Linked DNA regions of Tamandua tetradactyla. Each later gene encodes a partner of the first gene's protein in a complex. Links are inferred from orthologs where the notes say so. Each region holds a gene or a part of one and is shown in the gene's direction. Other genes may lie near its edges. The genes, in order: RBM10, KIF11 and MYSM1.

Evidence for each region.
Region 2: RBM10 (region 1) and KIF11 share a complex: the UniProt entries of both Homo sapiens proteins name them as parts of the large chromatin remodeling complex. The link is inferred for Tamandua tetradactyla from reciprocal best matches to the Homo sapiens genes RBM10 and KIF11.
Region 3: RBM10 (region 1) and MYSM1 share a complex: the UniProt entries of both Homo sapiens proteins name them as parts of the large chromatin remodeling complex. The link is inferred for Tamandua tetradactyla from reciprocal best matches to the Homo sapiens genes RBM10 and MYSM1.

What each region holds. Positions count from the first base shown.
Region 1 is NC_135353.1:123,093,058-123,096,806, reverse strand, and holds the start of RBM10 (RNA-binding protein 10), read left to right. Parts: upstream 1-1,144; 5' UTR 1,145-1,447; intron 1,448-1,612; 5' UTR 1,613-1,664; coding exon 1,665-1,758; intron 1,759-3,549; coding exon 3,550-3,691; intron 3,692-3,749. Other genes in the region: NDUFB11 (NADH dehydrogenase [ubiquinone] 1 beta subcomplex subunit 11, mitochondrial), read right to left, coding at 694-900. UniProt on the Homo sapiens protein: Binds to ssRNA containing the consensus sequence 5'-AGGUAA-3'. May be involved in post-transcriptional processing, most probably in mRNA splicing. Binds to RNA homopolymers, with a preference for poly(G) and poly(U) and little for poly(A).
Region 2 is NC_135339.1:52,599,843-52,603,591, reverse strand, and holds the start of KIF11 (kinesin-like protein KIF11), read left to right. Parts: upstream 1-1,031; 5' UTR 1,032-1,320; coding exon 1,321-1,397; intron 1,398-3,749. UniProt on the Homo sapiens protein: Motor protein required for establishing a bipolar spindle and thus contributing to chromosome congression during mitosis. Required in non-mitotic cells for transport of secretory proteins from the Golgi complex to the cell surface.
Region 3 is NC_135328.1:162,155,369-162,159,117, forward strand, and holds the start of MYSM1 (deubiquitinase MYSM1), read left to right. Parts: upstream 1-938; 5' UTR 939-981; coding exon 982-1,046; intron 1,047-3,507; exon of another isoform or gene 3,508-3,749. UniProt on the Homo sapiens protein: Metalloprotease with deubiquitinase activity that plays important regulator roles in hematopoietic stem cell function, blood cell production and immune response.

The sequences.
Region 1 (3,749 bases):
GACCATTTTGGTTAATTTAATTGCATGAGGCAGGTATAGTATTCTATTCTTTAGATAGTGTTTTTATTACTTCCCCATTTTACAAAGAAAACTTAGGCACAAGAGGTTGAACCACTTGCCCAAGGTCACACAAATGAGTAACTATTAAGTGTCTGGATCCGAACCCAGGCCATTTGACTTTAGAGTCTGTTATTAATACAGGACAGCAGACCAGTAGACCTAGGTTCAAATACCTATTTCCACCATGTATTCAGTTATGTTATGTTAGCTGAGACAAGCATCTAACATCCCTGCGCTTGTTCTCGCATCTGTAAAATGGGTATATAATAGTGTCTATCTCAAAACATTATTGCTTCTTAGATGAGCTAATGCATATAAAGTCCTTAGAACACTGCCTGGCAGAATAAGCGCCATATTGGTGTTTAATATTATTGTTGTTATACTATATTGCTTCTAACGTGGTTTGAGAATTGCCCACTTCAAGTTTGATTTCTGTCTGCAAAATAATGCCAATCCCGCATCTGGCCCTAGACCAGACTCTCAGGGGACAAATTAGGCGAACAAGCTAGGCAAAATTCATAGAGGATTTCGCCAGCTGCGCAACCTTCGGTCAACTAAGAACGTCCTCTACTGCGCTCCGTCAGCCTGCTCCCGATTGACCCTTTCGACGTCCTAGTTCCCCCTCCCTCTCACCTTCTCGTAGAGGTTTTCGTCCTCGGGATCCGGGTCCTCCTGCCAGCGTATGGTCGGTTCCCGAGTACGCTTCTCCGCCACGACAGGTGGAGCGACTACAGCCCGAGAAGAGCCGGATTCCCAACGGACACGGGCAGCCGGGAGCCCCCGCGTCGCAGCTGCAGCCAAAATGCGGCGAGCGTACAAACCTAGTTGCCCGACCGCCATGATAGATTGCTCCGTAGTAACTTAGGGGCGGGGACGGCAATGCGATTCTGCGCAGCTGCAGTTTGCGCGTGCGCGATATTTGTCGCTCCGCCGCCGCCGCAGTAAATAAGTCTCAGGTCTGATTTTCTTTTCAAATGAGGCGGGGCGCTGCGTGGCCCTCTTTCCCTCTCTCTGTCATGTCCTGGAGGGACCAACCCTTCTCTTATCCTCTCCTTCGGGCTGAGGAGTTTCTTATTGACAGGTCTGCTCTCTTCCTTGATGGGAAAAAAGCGGTGTCATTTGGGTGGTTCACAGCCAATCGCACAGCGAGTTCCCTTGCTGTTTGGGGAAGGGGCGGGGCTTCCGTTTGCCTTTCATCTTCAAAGGAAGCCAAGCTTCTAAGAAGCGGGCCTCGCGGGATTGACCAATGGCCACTCTTTTTCTCGACTTGCGGGCGTTCGCACGCGGGAGTGGGGAGGTGGCATTCGCTTGCCAATCAGAGGAGGCCAGGGTTGGCCGACCGCGGGCGGCGACCAATAGACGAGGACCGGCGGAGCGCGCTCCCTTAGTAGGTGGATGGTGGTCGAAGCACCGGTTCCCTTCTCGTCGTCGCCATTTTGTGTGGCTGTTTGAGATCGACTGGGAGTAGGTGGCAGTGGGTTTTCCGGGGAGGGTAGCGCGTCTGGCGCTTCTCCCTTCCCCTTTCTCCCCTCCTCCTCCCCTCTGCCTCCAGCCACGGACTTGGTGGTTACGCTGACCAGCTCCGGCTGAGCTGGGAGAGTTGGATGCGGTGGCGACGGGCCGAGGTGATGTCTGGGAGCCCTCCCGTGACAGCCCGGACCGAGAAGGTGAGCGTCGACGCTGGTCTTGAGGGTGGAGGTAAGGGGCTGGGAAACGGGGTGCGTAGAGGAGCGCAAGGAAGGACTGCGGGCCAGGGGCCTGGAGGGTGCGCGGAACTGAGGGATGAGTGCACAGTCTGAACCCGGGAGAGGGTGACTTTTTTTTTTTCCCCTTTGAGACCAAAGGCGCGTGCGCGATTGGGACCACGGGGATGGGTGCACGCGAGTTGGGGGAAGGGAGGGAAGGATGGGAGTGGGTTACTGTGGCTTACTGTCAGTGACGCTGGGCTTTATCCCTGGAGAGTCGGGTGTCTGCGACTTTAGTTTTTATCCACAGGGGAGGGGATGTGCTGTCTGCTCGGTCTATGTGACTGGTACCTGTCTATCAGTGGGGACATGTTTTGTGGCTCTGGTCCTTATTCGTGAGCCGGCGGGGGCTCATAGTTTGTACGACTCCGCTCTTTATCCCTAGGGTATGTCTGTGACTCTGGTCCTTACTCATGTGGGGTAGGGGGTGGGGGGGCAGTGTCTAGGCCCTAACCCACTTATTGAGTGTAGGGAGTGTATGTGTGGTTTATTGCCCCTTCTTTTGAGAGGTTTCTATCTGTGACTGTGATACTTATCCATTGAAAGGGAGCTCAGTGTGTGATTATGGCCCTTATTTATTGCGGGTCTCTATCTGTGATTTCTGCCTGTAGTTATTTGGGGCTCGTATCTGTGACTTTGGCCTCTATCTGTTGTGGCTCTGGTTCCTTTGCCAGAGCCTGTATCTGGGTTTCATCCAAGTGGACCCCTGGTTGTGATTCTAATCTTTAGGTATCTGGAGATAGGTAACTCTGGTTCCCTGTGGCTTGAGGAGGAAGAGAAAATTGGTGTGTGTATGCATGGGGAAAGGTGTGGTGGCATCCTAGTGTTGGGCAGGTGCTGTAACCGATAGGCTTTTCTCAGATTCCTGTTCACAGGGTGGGGCCTGAAGATTCAGGATATATCATGACCCTTGGCTGGGTCACATGGCTCCGCAACCCTCAGGGTTGAGTGAGTTGACTGACTGCTCCTCTGGCCTAGCAGAATAGCACAGTGGTTTGAAACAGCCTCTGAAAGGGCCCCTGTTACGTCTGAGAAGACTTGGGCCCAAACCCTGGGGAGAGAGCCACTTTGGGACCTGGCTGAATATTAGTTTGACCCAATTGCCCTGTGAGAGCCAAAGCTGAGCTGGCCAGGAGCCTAGTGAGACAGCAGCTATCTCGTTGCCAAATTAGCCCCCACCCCCCTCCTCACCCAAGAATGTTTCATGGTCTCCTTCCTGTCCCCTTGCAGAATCTTGTTAGGAGGACGAAATGGCTCCTGGGGGCCTAGAAGGAGCCTGGTGGATGCCTGAGACTCCCCTTGCTGTGGAGTCTCACCTCTGTACTTAAAGTGTCTATTCTGTGGCAGGTCATTCAGCGCTAAGCGCTCCCCTGGGCAGGCAGCTTGTCTACAAGTCTCAGGTGGCAAATCCCTGAATACTGGATGGGTGGGTGACATCACTACCCCTCCAGTCTCCGAGGTCTGTGGCCCCTCTGAGTGTTCCAGCTCTCTCTACAAGATGCTCTCCTATCTGATGACGGTCTTGCTATTTCTAGGGAGAGGGCTCTAGCCACGTGTTTGTGGAGAAAGGAAGAAGGAGGCCAAGCAGTAGTTGTATTCCCATTTTGGTCTACAGGAGTACTAGGAGTTGGAAAACAATGTCCCAGGCTAAAGAACAGCAAAATATCTGGACAACCAGAGTTTCTCAAGGAGACCTTTTCTGCCCCAGCTGCCTTGACCCCTTTCTTTCCTCCCATCTCCCTAGAGTCCCTACAGGAGGAATCACCCAGGCTGGCAGATCATGGTGGCAGCAGTGGGGGTGGCTGGGAAGTGAAACGGAGCCAGCGGCTAAGGAGGGGCCCCAGCAGCCCCCGCAGGCCCTATCAGGATATGGAGTATGAAAGACGGTAAGTTATCCTCCCCCACTCCTACAAAGCAGTTTAGGCTTGTCCCCAAGTGAGCATT
Region 2 (3,749 bases), on another chromosome or scaffold:
ACCGAAGTTATATGAGGGTTAGTCAATGGAGGAACACTGAGGGCAGTTGAGAGCTTTCCTCTCCACCAGGCCGTTGTTTTTACTAAGAAACGAAAACATTTAGGTTTCTGTGGCCCTTAGGTTTCTGTGGCCCAGAAGCGTAGCTACAGGAGCCGCCTATGAGCCCTGGCCCAATATTTCTTGGGCCGGAACCCACACCTGAAGTGGCTCAGTCACCCCAAGCACCACCAACTTCCATAACCCACGTACGTAAAGACCGAGGCCACCAAAGGTCGGCGGGCCGGGCAGCTCTGCACGCTGGGGTTCGTAGGCGGACGGCGGGCGGGTATTGCGCGAAGTCCTCGGGACGCTGGCGAGTGCTGCGCCTGCTGGTTGGAGGGAAGCGCTCCGAATGCGTCTACCACTAAAGAGCGGCTGTTCCAAAACGGAAATCTGATCTGGCCTTCTTGCTTGAGTTCATGTAATGAAGGGTAAATTCAGAGTTCTTAAAATGACATTAAAGGCTATTTCATGACGACTTGGTGCCTGTGGGAGCCTTATTTCTTACCCTCGGAAGACAGCCCTTGCCGCTACCTTCAGAGCTCGTTTTGCACCGCTAAAGAGTGTTTGGGCCTCTCTCCTCTGTGCGTCCCATACCACTCTCTTGCAATTTTCTAATACTTAAACCATCACAGCCACTCTTCCTGATCGTTTGCTGTGTTCTAGACACAGTGTACGTTCTTACACGCAGTTTATTCTCACCACAACCCTCGGAGGCCATTACTATTACTTCCATTTTGCAAGTGAGGAAAGTTTGGTTTAGAAACGTTACATAACTTGAGAAAAGACATCCAGTTGGCAAGTGGCGCAGCCAGAGTTTGACGTAGCAACTTGAGTCTGAACCTGAAAGCCACGCAGCACCGCCACGCCCTCTACTCGTGCGTTTGCCGCACTGATGACGAGTTCGCAGCGGCGCCTACAGCGGAGCTTCCTTTCCCGGCAGGCCAGCCCCGGAGGCGTGGCCCACGCGACAACGCGGCCCCATGGTGCCTTGCGCCGCCGCGCTGCGATTGGCCCTGCGACTCAGCTCGGTTTTCAAATTGAGGCGCGTAGTCGTTTGGTTTTTCGGACTTCGGGTGGCGAGTTTGGCTGGTCCTGGGCAGAAGCTGCGGTCTGTCAGAGTCCCTGGTGGAGAGCGGAGGCGCCGAGCTGCGTGCGTCGGTTCTCCCGGGTTGAGTCAGGGCCCAGCCGGGGAGGTGGGCGCGACGGCCGCCTGTCCCTTTGCACCCCGCAGGGTCCGAGCCTGCGGTCAGACCTTGATTTTTTTTGACGCGGCACGTCATGGCGTCCCAGCCGAATTCGTCTGCGAAGAAGAAAGAGGAGAAGGGGAAGAACATCCAGGTGGTGGTGAGATGCAGGTAGAGTGACTGGCAGGATTCGCGGCGCCCGGGCTTTGCTGTTGAGCTCCCTCCAGGGCGGTCCGGGGAGAGGGGTTTTGTTTGCATTCCTGGAGGGGGCCAAACCTTCCTTGGTTAAGTTGCACTTCCGTAAAAACGACACCAGGTTCCTGTAGGGAGTAAATTAGTATTGTCATCGCCTCTGTTTTGGAGAAAATACGGGTGCTTGTATTAATATGATATTTAAACTGCTATCAGAAGGCGAATTTGATCCTTGTTCTTTATTGGAAATTGCATTCTTATTTTTTTTTAACTACTGCCGATAAAGATTTAGGTTCCACTTTTATGTGCTACTCCATTCGGTTTGTCAGTTTGGAAATAAGACTGCATACCTACTTTGCAGATGTTTTAGCACTTATGCTTCATCTCCTTCACCTCTAAAAATGTAATCGTCTGTTCCCTTTAAATAGTCTAGGAAGAGCGTACTTGTATAAACTGGTGCTTAATTAAAGATGATTTATTAAACTTTTTAGCGGTCTTGATCAGTTTGCTGGTCTATGTTTTGTATGTCTGTTTTTGTTTTTAAAACTATGTGTACAACTACCTGCAACTTTTTTGGAAATCTAGAACTTACAATATAAAAAAATTTATTAAAAAGAACTATACCCACAGACTTTCCTAGGCTATTACTCAGCTCTGACGATCTGAGTATCAAAAGTGAGAGCCAGATTTCTAAACTACGTGCCAGAGAAGATATTTGGTGATAACCTTGAGTCTAGCCAATTTACACTCACCAGCTGTACTCTAGGGCTGCAACTAAATAGTTACTTGTTTTGAATTTTTTTTTCAACAGCCCATGTTACAAATGCAAATTTTAAGATTATTTTGGCTGTTTAAAGTTAGGCAAAAAAAAAAAAAAAGAAAAGAGAAGAAAAAGCTAGGCCATATTACTGTCTGTATATATATTTTTTAATTTGATTTCTTTTTTATTGTTACAAAATATTTCATACCTACAGAAACTTGTAAAGAACAATGTAGCAAATATCTGTGTACCCACTGCCCAGGTTAAGAAGCAAAACATCATTACAGGTAGAACCCCCTGTGTACCCCTCCTCAATTCCTCTTTGTTCACCTAGAGTTAGCCATTATCCTGAACTTAGTGTTTCTTATCCCCCCATATTTCAAGCCTTACCTCAAAAGACATTTTTTTTACCCTATCACCAATGAAATGCACTTAGGCAGTGTCTGATATTTACAATAATTTTAGTATTGGAGCATTTTTTCTTCTTTTCAGGTTAATCTTTCTTCTTTCAAATAGCCTTTTGAGTGCAAGTATTTGTGCTTAAGCGTTAGTAAATAAAGAATTTGTGAATGGGAAGACCCTCAGGGGTTGGTGACCCTTTTTAGGAAAGGACCCAAATAGTAAACATTTTTAGGTTTTGCTGGCTCATACACTCTTTGTCACACATTCTCTGATTTTTTTTTTTTTTTTAACAAACCAGATCTTAGGTTGCTAGCAGGGCAACAGCCAGATTTGGTCTACAGGCTAAAGTTTTTAGATCACTGCATGATCTAGCAACTGGCTATCTTTCTGATGCTCTGCCAATCCGCACATCTCCCACATATATTTTTTCTTTCCTTCCCTTAAGCACATCCCCCATGCTTCTACCTCAGGGCCTTTGCAACTTCTGTTCTCTGTCTTTGTCAAAATAATTACATTGGCTGGCTCCCTTATTATTTTAGATTCTGTTTAGTGTCAACTTATCAGAGAAACCTTCCTGATCACCCTAGAATTTCAGCTATTTTCCCTTATCATCACTTGCCATCCTCCAATCTGCTTTGTTTTCTTTTCTAATTTATCACCACCTAAAATATTCATTTGTTCATCATTTCATCCCACTCTTCCCCCAAAACTAGGATGAAAACTCACAGAAAACAGAAACTTAGTCTGGTTCACTGCTATATCCCCAATGTCTAGAACAGTCTATCACGTAATAGGTACTTGATGAATATTTGTTGAATGGATTAATTTAGCACTTCACAGGACAGGACTTTAGTTTTGTTTTTAAGTCCTCAATCTCCCTTCATCATTTGAGTGTTTTAATTTTTATATAACTATAGAGAGGCCAACTAAATGATGAGTTTGTTAGGATGATCAGCAGAAACCTTATGACTTCTGATTAGAGAAGTCTGGATAGGAAATTAGTAGCTTGGCAGTACTTTCTTGTAGTATAGACAGTTTCCAAAGCACCTCTCTGGGAGTTTGATAACTTAGGAATGTTTGATCTCTGTGATTTTCATACTCTGACTTGACAACTGGAGTGATATTAAGTGGCTTAATCACCTCTAGACTTAGGGATGCCAGAAATAATA
Region 3 (3,749 bases), on another chromosome or scaffold:
TGGTGCAAACCATTTGTAATTAGGATCTTTGAAGATTTTATTAGTTAAGGTGAGCCCAAATTGAATGAGGATGTTTTAATCCACTACGGTTAAAGTCCTTATAAGATAAAGAAATTGGACACAAAAAAAGCTAGAAACCAAAAGAGGAAAGAGAGGAAATTGCCACGTGATGGAAGAGACAAAAAACAAACAAACAAAAAAACCCAAGACACCAGTAAGCAGGTCCAAAACATGATAGTCTCTGGGGAGAAAGGATTGCTTTGCTTGCACATAGATTATGGACTTTTCCTAGCTCCAAAATTGAGTGCCAATAAATTCCTGTTGTTTAAGCTAAACCATTGTATGGTATTCGTTCTAGCAACTGGGAAACTAAGTCTCAGTTTCCTCATCTATTGTGTGATTGACGATACTAGCCATTATCTCAATGGGTTACTGTAACGATTAATGGTCATTTGAGAGTGATTTTTTAATTGTTAAGATCGCTACAAAATAAATGATGCAATCATTAGGTTATATATTTTAAAATAGAGTTTGTTCAGCACTTACATCTCTTTTTAAAAGAGAGAGAGAAAGCATACGTGAAAGCGCAAACGTAAATAACCAGCAGATACGACTTCTTCACATTTGCCACCTTCACAGTTCCCCGAGTATAGCCTAGCTCCAACTTTTCATCAGGCCATTAAAGTATTTGCTGCTATTCCTCTTTTACAAATGATAGAAGGGAACTGCCAAAAAATTTGTCCAAGAACATCAGCTCTCAAAAGCCCAAGGCAGGGACACTTCCCAAGGATCCTGACATTTAAAACGTAAAAGAACTAAACCACACGCCTCCGGGACTTTCCTTCTGGAAGCCACGCCTCCTTGGCCCAGGAGGGGCTTGACGGGACTTCAACCCCTCCCCTTGACGCATCCGGTCCCGCCCCCGGGTCCTCCACCTCTCGCGGGATCTCTCGGGAGGACAGGACCCGGTCCGGCCCCATCATGGCGGCTGAGGAGGCGGATGTGGATATCGAAGGGGACGTAGTGGCAGCGGCGGCACAGACAGGGTGAGGCTGTGAGACGATTCTTACCGGGCGGCGGGAAGAGGGCGCAGATGCGAGGAGAGGACACTGGGAAGCCCACGGACCTGGCAAGGCACGGGGCATCGGAAGACCATCCGCTAGGCCAGGGTCTCCTGGCGGCGGGGCTTGTGGTTCTGGTGGCGCCGCCCGTCGCGCCAACCCATGTGTCCTCACCCTAGCGGGCGACTATTCGGGGCTAGTTTCGAGACTCCTCTTTCGCTTTTCACCGGGTGCTTGTGAGGGCGCCGACTTCGCCTGGCATATTGCACTCGTTCCAGCGTTAGGTGCCTTCTTCCTTCCTCCTCGCTTTAGAATCTTCCCCGGTATCCTCAGTCCCACTGCCCGCCAATGGAACCGAGGCGGTTCCTGGCGGGTCCTGAACGGGACCTCAATGCAGGGACCCTCGTGCCATTACTCTCAAGCCTTGTAACCTTGGGCGAGAACACGTTTCTTCTCCATATGGAGAATAAACTACCTGAGAGGGAGAGTCAGGAGAGTCAGGGTTTTAGAGTTGGACAGTTCTGAGTTTGCTTTCTGCGTTTACTAACACTACCAGCTACTAGCAGTGTGACCTTGGACAAGACACTTGTCTAGCCTCAGACCTCTCATGTGTAAACTGATAATCGTGATATGTACCTCATGGGGTTGTTGAGGATCAAATGAAACTATTATGAAATGTTTTTGCATATTGTAGGGGCTCTGTAAATGTGTTTGGCTATCCGATTACCTTCGGGATGGTAGCGTGAGGACGCGGTGAGGAATCACAGTTTATTTAATAATAATTTCCGCAGAACAGCCCAGTGTGGTTTTAAACAGCAACCTTCAGCTTGGAAGATCTGGTCTATTGATGCGTTACTTTTTCCACTTACTGAGATCAATACGTATCATTTAAAAAGTGTTCTTCTAGAATATAATTTTAGTAGTGGAAGATGTCAAGACTGGCCTGGACATCAGAAAACCTTAGCTCTAAACCCAGCTAGCGATGTTGTTTTAACTGAAAATCTTCATTAATCTGTTAGGTTGAACCATATGAAATTGCCAGTATTCAACCATTTTTTACTCTTTTTTGTAAAATGTCAATTTCATATGGTTCAACCTATTATCAGAACCACTGTTAAATGGGGAGAAGAGTACAACCTGGCCATGAGGGGCAAGATATGGATATAAAAGTGTTTCCTGAACTCTAAAGCCGTATAAAAATGTGAGAGATAATTCAACTCATATAGTAATTTTACATCAAATTTTTGAGGAAAGAAGCCCAAAGTATGCATATGAGTAGGAAGTCTTTAATAACAGTAATTGTTCACAGTTGTGTTGTTTAAAACTTGACCAAATGCTTTTGTGTACTTGATTTAATTTACTTTTCACAAGTCCATGAGGTGGGTGGGCAAGAATTCTTTTGCAGCCCAGAAAGAAATTAATTGGCCTTGGAAGTACTAAATAAAGATCATCTGAAGGCATTAACTGTAGACCATTCTTCTACCATAGATTCTTCTTTATTTTTCTGGTTGTGTTAAATCCCCCACTCCCACCCCCACCCCTTTCCTTCTTCCTCCACTGTTTGGGCCTTAATTCTGCTGGTGCACTTGTGATTATATCAGCCTCCTATAAACAGGATTTCAAAGATTATTGGTTCCTAATGGTCAGAGCCATTACCTCACGTAACTCCAGGGAAGATCATTACCATTATATCATGGAACATGGAGCCTCATAGTTTTGGGGCTTCAGTCATTTGGGATTTATTGTGGATGGTGTCCCCTGAAGTATATACTTAACAACTGATGATAGCATGTGTGAAACATTGGAACATTAATATAAAATACACTTTTTTAGCACTTGCTTAGTGGTAGGTACCAAGGTACCTTTCTTTCCTACTATTCCTTCTCATTCTCCTTTTCTTATGCTTGTCATAGTGTTCCCAAATGGTTTTGTCTTAGGACTTCTCTGCACTGTTCACACAGTCTCAGGTGATACTATCTCAAGGCTTCAACTTCTGGTTGAACCATATGAAATTTCCCCAATTCTACCATTTTTGGCCTACAAAAATCGCAGTTTCATATGTTCAACAAATATGTGCTGATGTTTTCTAAATCTGTCACCAAACCAAATCTCTTTCTTGAGCTTCAGATCAGCTTACCCAATTCCCAAAATAGATCTCTATTTGGATGTCCAGCAGACACCTCAGCTTATCATTTTTCCCTCCTCACCAAATTTGCCTCTCTAGCATCCCCTAGTTAAATAGCGCCAGCATCCACCAGTCACCCAAGGCATAGACCTAGACTTTATCCCTTTTCCTTACCTCCCTCTTTCCACTCACCCAACCCTATTAGTTACTTGGGACCTGCTGATTCAATATGTGTCCTCTCAAATGTATTCATTTCTTCTCACTGCTTGTTCCTTAAGTATAGATTACTACCACTTCTCTCCAGTATTTTTATAATCACTTCCTTGTAACTGCTCCTTGTTTCCTTGGCCCCTTTTATTCTTTCCTGAAGTTAAAGCTGCCTTACATCCAAATCTGATCACTTTATTTACTTCAATCCCTCACTGGATTTTATGACAAAATCCTCATCTGTAACTCCTAAAGATCTGTGTGATCCACGCCACACTTATCTTGTTCATTCATTCATACAGCAAATATTGATTGAAAACATTCTGTATACCAAACTCTAGGAATATAGTAGCTTT